Linked DNA regions of Arabidopsis thaliana. The protein of the gene in region 1 interacts with the protein of each later gene in a pairwise test. Each region holds a gene or a part of one and is shown on either strand. Other genes may lie near its edges. The genes, in order: HDA05 and GRF10.

What was found.
Region 2: the proteins of HDA05 (region 1) and GRF10 interact in a protein complementation assay, tested with the Arabidopsis thaliana proteins (one study listed by BioGRID).

What each region holds. Positions count from the first base shown.
Region 1 is NC_003076.8:24,566,001-24,572,784, reverse strand, and holds HDA05 (histone deacetylase 5), read left to right. Parts: upstream 1-1,793; 5' UTR 1,794-1,867; coding exon 1,868-2,070; intron 2,071-2,566; coding exon 2,567-2,768; intron 2,769-2,878; coding exon 2,879-3,025; intron 3,026-3,124; coding exon 3,125-3,237; intron 3,238-3,371; coding exon 3,372-3,583; intron 3,584-3,659; coding exon 3,660-3,736; intron 3,737-3,889; coding exon 3,890-4,060; intron 4,061-4,185; coding exon 4,186-4,269; intron 4,270-4,485; coding exon 4,486-4,719; intron 4,720-4,808; coding exon 4,809-5,002; intron 5,003-5,106; coding exon 5,107-5,233; intron 5,234-5,317; coding exon 5,318-5,382; intron 5,383-5,482; coding exon 5,483-5,648; 3' UTR 5,649-6,002; downstream 6,003-6,784. Other genes in the region: HDA18 (histone deacetylase of the RPD3/HDA1 superfamily 18), read left to right, coding at 1-62, 141-205, 337-507, 652-1,488; AT5G61050 (histone deacetylase-related / HD-like protein), read left to right, coding at 6,170-6,373, 6,458-6,651, 6,746-6,784. UniProt on the Arabidopsis thaliana protein: Responsible for the deacetylation of lysine residues on the N-terminal part of the core histones (H2A, H2B, H3 and H4).
Region 2 is NC_003070.9:7,878,114-7,883,200, forward strand, and holds GRF10 (general regulatory factor 10), read right to left. Parts: upstream 3,283-5,087; 5' UTR 2,991-3,282; coding exon 2,924-2,990; intron 2,572-2,923; coding exon 2,265-2,571; intron 2,058-2,264; coding exon 1,970-2,057; intron 1,863-1,969; coding exon 1,753-1,862; intron 1,672-1,752; coding exon 1,523-1,671; coding exon of another isoform or gene 1,488-1,522; exon of another isoform or gene 1,175-1,487; coding exon 1,137-1,174; coding exon of another isoform or gene 1,131-1,136; exon of another isoform or gene 1,112-1,130; intron 1,039-1,111; coding exon 1,033-1,038; 3' UTR 646-1,032; downstream 1-645. Other genes in the region: MBD8 (methyl-CPG-binding domain 8), read right to left, coding at 3,601-4,066, 4,423-5,087. UniProt on the Arabidopsis thaliana protein: Is associated with a DNA binding complex that binds to the G box, a well-characterized cis-acting DNA regulatory element found in plant genes.

The DNA.
Region 1 (6,784 bases):
GATCCCTGTGACCAAGGAATTCAAACCAGATATTATTTTGCTTTCAGCTGGATTTGATGCAGGTTTGTATGGTCTAACCATTTGTTTCAAGGCTTTGTGACGGTAAGCTGTGTGTAATCTTTTCAACTTCTTCTTAACAGCTATTGGTGATCCGCTTGGGGGTTGTTGTGTTACCCCATATGGATATTCAGTTATGTTGAAGAAGGTTGGTGTTGAAGTGAACTGCCTCTTTTCTCCATTGTTTCTATTATGCGTACCATGGCTTCTCTACCATTGAAAATAACAAAGCTACATAATTTTACTTGGATATGACATCATTTAATTGGTTTCTCTCAGCTGATGGAGTTTGCACATGGAAAGATAGTGCTGGCATTAGAGGGAGGATACAATCTTGAGTCATTGGGAAAGTCTTCACTCGCATGTGTCCAAGTTTTGCTTGAAGACAAACAAATTCATGGTTCATCTGAAACATACCCATTAGAATCTACACGGCGTGTCATACAAGCGGTATGGCTCTATATAACCCTAACAGTCTGAAATTTTGTATGAATTGGCTACGATTTCTCTTTTCAGCTCAGTTCTTGTGTCATAAATATTGTATATCGCCTATGTTACTAATTGACAAAGCTCATCTGTTTCTTGTGGGTTTAGGTACGCGAGAGACTATGCACATATTGGCCTTCACTTGACGCGTCAATGGCGTCTAATGAGAATTTAAAGAACCCAAGTGCAGAAAGAAACTCCGCTGACGCCCTCCTTCGTGAAGTGGAAGAGTTAAAGTCTCTAATGGCTGCCCGAGATGGAGAACTGGAGGCAAGGAGAAAAGAGTTAAAGGCCAAAAATAAGGAGCTAGAAGCGAACGAGAAGGAGCTAGAAGCGGGACTAATGTTGATTCGCGCTCGGGAGGATGTAATCTGTGGTCTTCATGCAAAAATAGAGAGTTTGCAGCAGGAGCGAGATGAGGCGGTAGCGAAAGCTGAACGCATAGATAAGGAACTCCAAGAGGATAGGGCAAGAAGCCAGGAGTTCAAAGAAGACACAGAGTTTTGCTTGAGTACGTTAAGGAGGGAGAAGGAGCTTGCCATCATGGCCAAAAATAAGGACCTAGAAGCGAAAGAGAAGGAGCTAGAAGCGCGGCTAATGTTGGTTCACGCTCGGGAGGATAAAATTCATGCCAAAATAGAGAGGTTGCAGCAGGAGCGAGATGAGGCCGTAGCAAAAGCTGAACGCATAGATAAGGAACTCCAAGAGGATAGGTCAAGAAGCCGAGTTGGGAATGGATCTTTTGCCTTTTCTCAGGAGTTCTATGAAGACATGGACTTAGACGAGCTCGAACCTCTGTCTCCGGAGTTCAATGAAGACATGGACTCGGAAGAGCTTGAACCGTTTCAGGTCATCAAGAAAAACATGGAGCGTTCCCACAAGAAGTTCATAAAAGATATGGAGTGTATCAAGTTTATCGCCAGTGAGAGAGCCAGGGTACTTTAGGTTGGGAGCTTGAGGCCGTAGCAGAAGACTACCACAAGTTTCGCGAGATGGTTGATAAGCTCGGGAAGAGCAACATATACCCTTCTTAGAAAGTACAATGGTGTTTCATTGTAACCACAGAACCTTTTTGTGATTGTAAACCAACTGTGTCGTGTCAGACTTTGATTGGTTGCGATACTTGGTTTCCCAATTTCCCTCCAAAGAATCTCCAAATTGGTCAAACTCTCAAACCTAAAAAAAAAAAAGGAGAGAATGAAAAAAAGAAAGAATTGAAAAGTAAAAAATACTTGGAAGCTTTAGAAGCTGAGAGCAAAGACTTGACCTTTTTCACTTCCTTCTCACTGATCGTCGAACAATAAGGCCGTCGCATCTCCCAGTTATGGCTATGGCCGGAGAATCTTCCGGCAAAAAAATTGGAGACTGTGACGGTAAAGTCGCGGGGAACAGACAGCGAAAGGTGGGTCTTATTTACGACGAGACGATGTGCAAACACGACACACCTGACGGCGAGGATCACCCTGAGTGTCCCGACCGCATCAGAGTTATCTGGGAGAAGCTTCAGCTCGCCGGAGTTTCTCAAAGGTTCATACTTTCTCTCTTCTTCGTGCGGCTTTGTTGTTTGTTTGATAATATAAGCCCTAGAAAATGCTCAAATTTAGTCAAATTGGGTACTTTCTGATCCTGTCAGCTGAGAAACTGGTCTCAATTTGTTCTTCCTTGTTCGGTATGAAATTTACTTTTCTCAATTTGAATTGTGCATTTCATAGAATCAAAAGGTTTGTATGCTGCTCAATTTTAACGGTAACCCTTCATAAATTTGCTACCTTTTCGTTATGTTCGGTCTTGTGTTCGAGTTATTTCCTCCATGTCTGTTTTATAACCCTCTCTGATATCAATTTTATATTTTTCATATTTGTTTGAATTTCACTCATAACATTATTAATTAGAGTAATGTGGCAGCACATTAGTTAGGGAAGGTGGAATCTAGTCTTTGAGGTGTGTATCCATCACGATTTGTTTTTCGATTCGGATGAATTGGCCTGCTATGTATTGACGATCTTGGTCTTTTCTTTTGCAGATGTGTGGTTCTTGGTAGTAGCAAAGCAGAAGATAAGCATCTCCAATTGGTTCACACAAAGGACCATGTTAATTTAGTTAAGAGTATTAGCACAAAACAGAAAGATTATCGGAGAAACAGGATTGCTTCACAGTTGAATTCGATTTATCTGAATGGAGGTTCATCTGAAGCCGCATATCTTGCAGCTGGTTCTGTTGTAAAGGTAATAATACTAGTTGATTTGTTTCTTTTTACAATAGGAGGATACATTAGAAACTGTTAGAATGATTTGATTGAATATGGGGTAACAACATTTTTCTTTCAACTTGACAGTTGGCAGAAAAAGTTGCAGAAGGAGAGTTAGATTGTGGTTTTGCTATTGTCAGGCCCCCAGGGCACCATGCTGAGGCAGATGAAGCCATGGGTTTTTGTTTATTCAACAATGTTGCCGTTGCTGCTAGTTTTTTACTAAACGAAAGAGTAAGGACTTGTACTGTTTGCTTTTAATTACTGTCAAATTCTTTGGTCACATTCCTTTGGAGTGCGTGTTCCCAACTTCTTTGCTTTTCCTGAATGCAGCCGGATCTAGGGGTCAAGAAAATTCTGATCGTTGATTGGGATGTCCATCACGGAAATGGTACCCAGAAGATGTTTTGGAAAGATCCTCGTGTACTATTTTTCTCTGTTCATAGGTATGTAATTGTGACCATTGTTTACTCTTCTTATGATGTCGCTTGTCATGATTTAAGGAGCCTACTTTTTACTCTATTACCCCTTTGCTTGATTTTTACGCTTGGAAAGTAACTGGAAATGCATTTTTGGTTAGGCATGAGTATGGGGGTTTCTATCCAGCGGGTGATGATGGCGATTATAACATGGTTGGGGAAGGTCCAGGTGAAGGGTTTAACATAAATGTTCCATGGGATCAAGGACGATGTGGAGATGCAGATTATCTTGCTGCATGGGACCATATCTTGATTCCTGTGGCGAGGGAATTTAACCCGGATGTTATTTTTCTTTCAGCTGGATTTGATGCAGGTAAACATGGTTTAAGCATTTTTTTAAGCTATGTCTTGTTCAGAGGTGTGTAACCTTTTCAAACTCCTCTTAACAGCTATTAATGATCCGCTAGGGGGTTGTTGTGTGACCCCATATGGATATTCAGTTATGTTGAAGAAGGTTGGTGTTGAAGTGAACTCCCTCTTTTGTCCATCATTTGTATTTGCGCTCCAGGGGTCTCCATCATTGAAAATAGCACTTCTTGCTTTAGCTGGTTGTTTGTCCCTGAGCTAAATAATAGAAACTTGCATTTAATATCATTCTGTTTCTCCAATGTTCTCTCAGCTGATGGAGTTTGCACAAGGAAAGATAGTGCTGGCGTTAGAGGGAGGGTACAATCTTGACTCAATTGCAAAGTCTTCACTTGCATGTGTCCAAGTTTTGCTTGAAGACAAACAAATTCAAGGACCTCCGGAAGCATACCCATTCGAGTCGACATGGCGTGTCATACAAGCGGTATGGCTCTATATCATCCTATCTTTTAACTTTCTTATTTCACAATCTGAAACAACCTTCCATAAATGGGCTGTAGTCCTCATGTTACTAGTTGACCAAAACTCATCTGTTTCTTGTGGGTTTAGGTGCGCAAGAGGCTATGCACATATTGGCCTTCACTTGCAGATGAATTATCGTGGAAGCTAATTAATCAGAAAACTCCTACTCCAGTTGAGCACCCTTCTTTTTGTCTACCATTTCAGTTGTTCATTGTTCATCAGAGAGCGTTTCCTTGCCAGATCGGATTTAGAAAAACCTCACTATTTTTAGCAACCACTTCTTAACTTCTTTGTCTCTATACAAATTTTCCTTTGCTTGATCTTCTTTTTAGGCGACAGACTCGGTATTTCTTATCACATAATTTCTTTCTTATTTGTTCACTATAGATCATCCTTATCTCAAGCTCCGACTCTGAAACTGAAGACAACGCCCAAGGACTCCTGGATCAAATGTCGAAACTCAGCATTGAAAACCCTCAAGGTACACTACTTGAAAACCACCAAGTAGAACCTGCATCTACATCTTGGAGAGCTGATCTCGCAAAGGTTGACGTTTGGTATGCCTCTTTTGGATCCAACATGTGGAAACCAAGGTTTCTTTGCTATATTCAAGGGGGACAGGTAAGTAACCTGTTTTGTTTTGTTTTCGGGGTCGAGTCTGGGCTTTGGTCTAACTTGACACATCTATGGCTGTTTGTGTTTATTTTTAGGTCGATGGATTGAAAAAGGTATGTGTTGGCTCAATGGATAAAAGTCCACCAAAGGAAACAGTGTGGGAAACATTTCCACATAGATTGTTCTTTGGCCGTGAATCTTCAGTTGGTTGGGGTGTAGGAGGAGTTGCTTTCACCAACCCCCTTGCTAATCTCATTGATCAAACTCACATGTGTTTGTACCGTATCACGTTAAGTGTACCACTCTTCATCGCAGTTTCCGTTCACTTTCCCTATTTTATTCATTTGGTGATCTTCTCTACTTATTCACTATGGATGTTATTTTTGTGAACAGGCTTGAGCAGTTCAATGACGTTCTGTCTCAAGAAAATGGTTTGAATGTGGATTCAGATTCTCCGGTCTTTGATCTAGCTGCTTTGCAGTTAGTAGATAACAAAGGATCCATTTTAGAAGCTCCTTTGGTTAGTCAGATAACAAATGTTGATTGATACGCTTATAAAACATGTAATAATCACACTTATACTCGTTTATTGACATTTTTACAGAATAGTTGGTATGGAAATGTTGTCTGCTTGGGAAAAGAACGCGACATTCCTATACTTACAATGACGTAAGTTTTCATCATTCTTTTTCTTTTGCTGCTCATAAACCGAGTTAAACAGCTTTCATTTTTTTTTTCCTGAGGTTTCTCAATAACTTTGTGTTTGCAGTTGCACGCTTTCCGCTGTTGAGAAATTCAAATCCGGTGAGATCCCTATAAGACCTCCTGCAAAAGCTTATGCCAACACTTTAATAAGGGGACTTGTGGAAGGAGGAAGATTATCTAAAGAAGAAGCTGAGGCTTACATAGACAAGGCTGTGTCTAAACCTCTCTAGTGTATAATTATTTACTCAGAAACCGCCCGTTTGAACACGATTTGGAGCTTCGGGTTTCTGAGTTATTCAATTAGGATAAAAACCACAAGTTTAGGAATATTGTGAGACCTTTGAATTTGTCTTTTGAAAGAGAGGACTGTGTCCTCTGTTAGCTGTGTTGTGCTTGCTCCCTAAGCAAACTCTCAATGTATTTTAGTTATCTTCGGGTTTTAGGCTTTACCAAGAAGCTGTATTCGGTAAATGTATTAAAGAACCCTCCAAACTGCTTTATATTGACCGGAGAGAAACATTCTTATTCTTCGGAATGGTACTTTGAAGTTTGAAGAGTTATTTTAAAAAAAGATTTAACAGCACTGTGAAGAGTTCTGGTCAAACAAACCTATTTAAAAAAAAGAGATTGGAAAACATGTATAAATAAAAATTGAAACGTAAAAATACTTTGAAGCTTCAGAAGCAAAGATTGGACCATTTCTCTTTTTTCTCCCTGCTCGTCGAACGATAGACTCTCTCATCTCCCGCATATGGCCATGGCCGACAAAAAATATGGAAACTGTGACGGTAAAGTCGCCGGGAAAAGCCAGCAAGGTACACTAGTTGAAAAGGAGCAAGTAGATACCGCTTCTACATCCTGGAGAATTGATCTCGCAAAGGTTGACGTTTGGTATGCCTCTTACGGATCCAACATGTGGAAACCGAGGTTTATTTGCTATATTCAAGGGGGACAAGTAAGTAGCCTTGTTTCGTTTCTTTTTGGAGTCTGAGCTTGTGTCTTAATTGACACATCTATGGCTGTTTGTGTTTATTTTCAGGCCGAGGGAATGATAAAAGCATGTGTCGGTTCAATGGACAAAAGTCCACCAAAGGAAATAATGTGGAAAACATTTCCACATCGATTGTTATTTGGCCGTGAAACTTCAATGTTTTGGGGTGTAGGAGGAGTTGCTTACACCAATCCCCTTACTAATCTCAATGATCAAACTCACATGTGTTTGTACAGAATCACGTTAAGTTTCTTCATCTCCGTTTCCGAGTTTTCTCTTTTCATATATCTGATCTTTTCTACTTATTCATTATATGGTTGTTGTTTTCGTGATCAGGCTTGAGCAATTCAACGACCTTCTGTTTCAAGAAAATGA
Region 2 (5,087 bases), on another chromosome or scaffold:
AGAGTTGGCAAAGATCGTCACCATGATCCTCTGTTTATTAGTCAAACCTAATATTTGAAGGTGTTGTCTCTTTGCTTTTGACAGTTGTAGCATTTGTTGTGCTAGCAACAACTCACCTAAAGAATTTAGAAGTTGGGCCAAGTGAATACTTGAATTGATCATTTGTAGCTCAAAATTGAAGTTTTCGATAGATGTATGAAATTATTATTCATTGGACATATAAAAATATTAAAGAAAACACTACAAAATCTCTCGAGGGAAGTGGTCAATTCGTGACAAAAATGTTATTTAGATGGTTGACAAAAAGATATCTGATTCTATAAGGATTAACTGGTTCACAGTTTGATTAACATGTTTTAGACTTTGAGGGCTCTCGATTGGATTAGACACAATGAGTGTTGGTACGAGTTAGAGAGTTTGTGATAGCATTTGGTTACAATTACAACTTACAAGAGTCCCATATTTAGAGCATAGAGATCCTTTTTGAGGGTCATGTTGGGAGAACCAAACCATTATTATGTCACACACTTACGGACCAAACCACCGTAGAGAAACACACTTGAGGATGATTCCTTGGCCACAAAGAGGGCAAACATCCACAAATTGAAAAGTTGTGAAGTTTGGGATCACTTATGCAAATTATTAAGAGCCTCTTGAATTCAGACTTTCATGATTTTTGCAAGGAGTTATTAGTTATTACAAACTTCGAATAAAGCTTTGTCTGTTTTGGTTTTTAATTTTGAGACCATGATACGCCTAATATTCTGATAAACAAAAACCCAAATCATGCCTGCTGGCTCAATTCAACAACAAAAGAAGCAAACTAAGCGTAAAACAGAATTCAACCACATCATAAGAGGGTTGAAGATACGCAACGCAGTGTTGTGTTGTGAAAAGTTCAAGAATCTGGAAAACACCATCAAGAAAGACATAGATTAAAAATTACACATTCGAGTAACAAACAACGACACTTACTGTCTTCACTTCAAGATTCAGGATGCAGCAAGAGTCGTTTCTCTTCTCACAGAGGATTTAGTTCTGCAATGATTCAGTAATTCCATGAGTGGTCTAATTGTCAATGCAAAATGGAAAAATCAGTAAGTAGCTTAACTTATAACAAAACTGGCTTTTCATACCTCATCTTGAGGCTCATCAGCACCTTTGGTTCTCTCATCTAAGAGGGGAAAAAAAAAAGGTGAGTGAAAAAGCTTTGGAAGAGAAACAAGAAACTAGTAATGTTTTCTGCTACAAACATATAACTTTTACAAGATTAGCTAGAATCCAATAACTATGAGATGGTAGATTGGTATGTTTTTTGTTGAGGCTTTCAAAACTAAAATGAAAGATCTACATAGCAATACATGCATAAAGGACGGTTTAATTCAAATATAGACAGATGGTTAATGGTTACGAGTTCCCAAACATCAACATTTTTACTCCAAGGTAACGCTCTTAACAGCTCATTTGATTCTAAGGAAACCATTTGATCATGAGATAGGGAAACAAAAGAAAATAAGAATACCTCCTTCCTCATTAAGGTCTGAAGTCCACAAGGTGAGATTGTCTCTAAGTAGCTGCATAATAAGAGTGCTGTCTTTGTATGATTCCTCGTTGAGGCTGTCAAGTTCAGCAATTGCATCATCGAATGCTTGCTTAGCCAATTGGCATGCGCTGTACAATACATAGTTTCATAGTGTCAGAAAATGACCACAGATTCCACTATTATGTTCAATCCAAAATACAAAAACAAACCTTTCGGGAGAGTTCAAGATCTCATAGTAGAAAACTGAAAAGTTCAACGCCAAGCCAAGTCTAACTGGATGTGTGGGTGCCAAACCATTCTCTGCAGCAGCAACAGCAGCCTACATTCCCAGTACGAAAAAAGCAAGACTTGTCTTAGGTTATTCCCAGCTCAAATATAAGAGGGGTGGCACAAAAATAAGAAAACAAATAAACATGATCAAAGGACCTTATATGCTTCAAGAGACTGATCTGCAGCTTCCTTGCGTTCAGCACCAGAACTGAACTCCGCAAGATAGCGATAGTAATCTCCTTTCCTACATAGAAAGAAAAAAAAACACGTAAAGTCAAAACAGTGAAACAAGGAAAAGTTCATGAATCATCATCATTTCAGGAAGAACACAAGCAAGAGTGGTAGCTATGTAATAACTTAAACATTTAACTTTAGTCAAACGGAAATGATCTCATTCTTAGTCACACAAATATCACATGAATGGTCAGAGTATAATAAAGATGACACTCACATTTTGTAGAAAAAGACAGTTGACTCCACAGCGTTAGACGATGGAATGAGATGCTTATCAATGACAGACAAGATGTCATTACAAACTTTAGCAAGCTCATCTTCAACTCTCTTACGATAATTCTTAAGCCTCTTGACATTTTCATCATTTCCCTTGGACTCTTCCTTCTGCTCAATGGAAGATAGTATTCTCCATGATGCTCTCCTTGCACCAATCACATTCTTGTACCCTACAGATACAAGATTCCTCTCTTCCACAGTTAGCTCCACATCAAGCTGAGCAACTTTCTTCATCGCCTCCACCATTTCTGCATCATCACCAACAAAAAAAAAATATCCGATCTTTGAATTTGCTTCCAAAAACGTAGATCTATTTCATTTTCATGCTAAGAGATTCGACAACAGTAAGTATAAAATTATATCAAGATAAGATCAAGAGTGATCAGAGTATCTAAACAACATTAAACAAGAAATTACTTAAAGGTCGCATCTAAAAGTCCAGATCAAGTAACAGCCCAGAAACATACAAATCGGTAAAGGGCTACAAAGAAAATCTATGGAAATGTAAAAACAATTTCGATCGGAGCAATAAAAGATCGGATTTTTTCAGAAACATGAACAAATCATTTTCTGAATAGAGATCCAGAAATCGGAAAATACCATCGTATCTTTCGGTTTGCTCGGAGAGCTTAGCCAAGTAAACCTGCTTTTCCCTCTCATTCTCCATAGTTTTTTCTTCTTCTTCTTCTTCTTCTTCCTTCTCTGTCTCTCTGAAGTCTGAATCAAAAATGGATGCTTTGATTTGATTGATTTCGAGATTAGTAGTAACCCTAGGATCCTCTCATAGTGGTATTATATCAGCCGTTGGATCTACTTTTTTTAGTCAACAAAACTCAGAAACATAAGTTTTATAAATTATAAAGTAGCCACAAAGGTTTAGTTTTTACACAGAAAGAACCTAAAACTAATATATGTTTCTTATTAAACCCCGATCTAGTCAATAACGTAAAAGGTTAACGACGCTGACCGTGATAAACGGAGAAAGACATGTCCTCTTGTCCATTATTTTAAGGGTTTGTGTTCTTTTCTATATTATATAACACAATCCAAATCATAGATTTTTTTTATGCCAATCCAAATCCAAATCCAAATCAATCACAGATTGAAACTCAAAGAAATTTTCTTTTGAAGAAAAAATTTGGTTTCTGTCAAATGTTTTGTACATGGCCCTTTCAAATTCTATATCCTGTAGTTAGCTACAACACGCTTTTAGTTTGCATAAAATATAAAATCTGAACTAGAATGAGAAAACAATTTGTTCCAGGTAAAAGAAATGGTCACTGAACTCGGTTGATTTGTGAGCTGAAATACTGTTGAAGCTCATTAGTCGTTGTCGGTAGGCTTTTCGTCATTTCTGAATTCGATAGAGTCGCCAAATTCTCCATGTTACCATCTCTTTTCTTCATATCATCGTCGTTGTCCTCAACTCCATTCAGAAAATCTGCATTATCATCTTTCTGCATCAGACTGGTTTTCACTCGATCTGCTTCATTGCCATTCTCTACGGCTTTTGCTTCCTCAAACACCTCACTGCTGGTTCTTCCACTCTCAAGGTACTGCATTGTCTCAGAGTCCATGGAATCAGAGTTACCTAGTAAAGATTCGTTAGCTATCACTGGTTGTTGTCCTAGAGTCTTGTTGTCAGATTGCAAGTAATAATGTTGGTTCTTGCTTGGGGATTCAAGAAGTGATCGTAGATATGTGGAGACTTCCTTGCAGGTTTCAAACTGTTGCCCATCAGGGCTATATAATCAAAAACAAAAGAGAAAATTTTCAGAATCCTGAACTAAAAGTGATAACAACAGCTAGAATCCTAGAACGGCAGAGAGTACACAAACGAACTATAAGCAATTTCAGTAGCAGCCCTTAATTCATGTAAACATCTTTTATCATGTTCAAGAAGATGGAGAAACAAACAAGAGGGACAATCAAAAGTCTAGCAGCAGAAACTAAAACATCATATACCAAATCCTATAAAACTATATCTTCAATAGTAACAAAGTGTTAGTTTTGCTATAACCAATTCCACAGCCAATACTAGGTCTATTTTATAATCCAACTAGAAACAGAACCAGTGAAGAACATAAACATTATTATACCTTATGTATCTGCGACAAGCCAGCAACAAATTGCTACCTTTCCTTTTGATGTAGAGCATAAGTCTCCATCCTCTAGGCAAGTATCCTCCATAATCACAAGCATTCACAACTTTCTTCTTCTTCCCTATATTCACCCATTCACCATTCAATTGTTCCAAGAAACCTAAGATCTCTTCCTTTGTCTTCAACCCAACGGTGATCCTCCTCAGCTCCTCTTCGTATGGATCCTCTGAAACACTAGCCAATGCAGAGAGATCCACAATTGTACCTTCTCTGTTCTCCAAGTTCACTACTAACTCTTCCTTATCAAACGCAGAAATATTCACAATTGCACTGTCTCTCTTCTCTAGGTTCATTATCTCTTCCTTATTCTTTGGAGGACGACCTCTCTTTCTCTTCACTGAATTTGAATCCAGGGAGATTCCTGAACTACCAACTCTACTCACCATTCCCAAATTGCTACTAGTTTTATCTACAAACACATACGTAGATGCTTCACCAGTTAAATCCAAAACCTCATTCTCTTCGCTAGGGTTCCGAATCTTCCTCGGCCGTCCACGCTTCCTCTTTATTTTATTCCCGGAGGTTCCCTGAATCAGAACGTTCTGAATCGAATCAAGATTAGGTCTCTGATAAACATAGCTGTTATAATGGATCTGACCTTC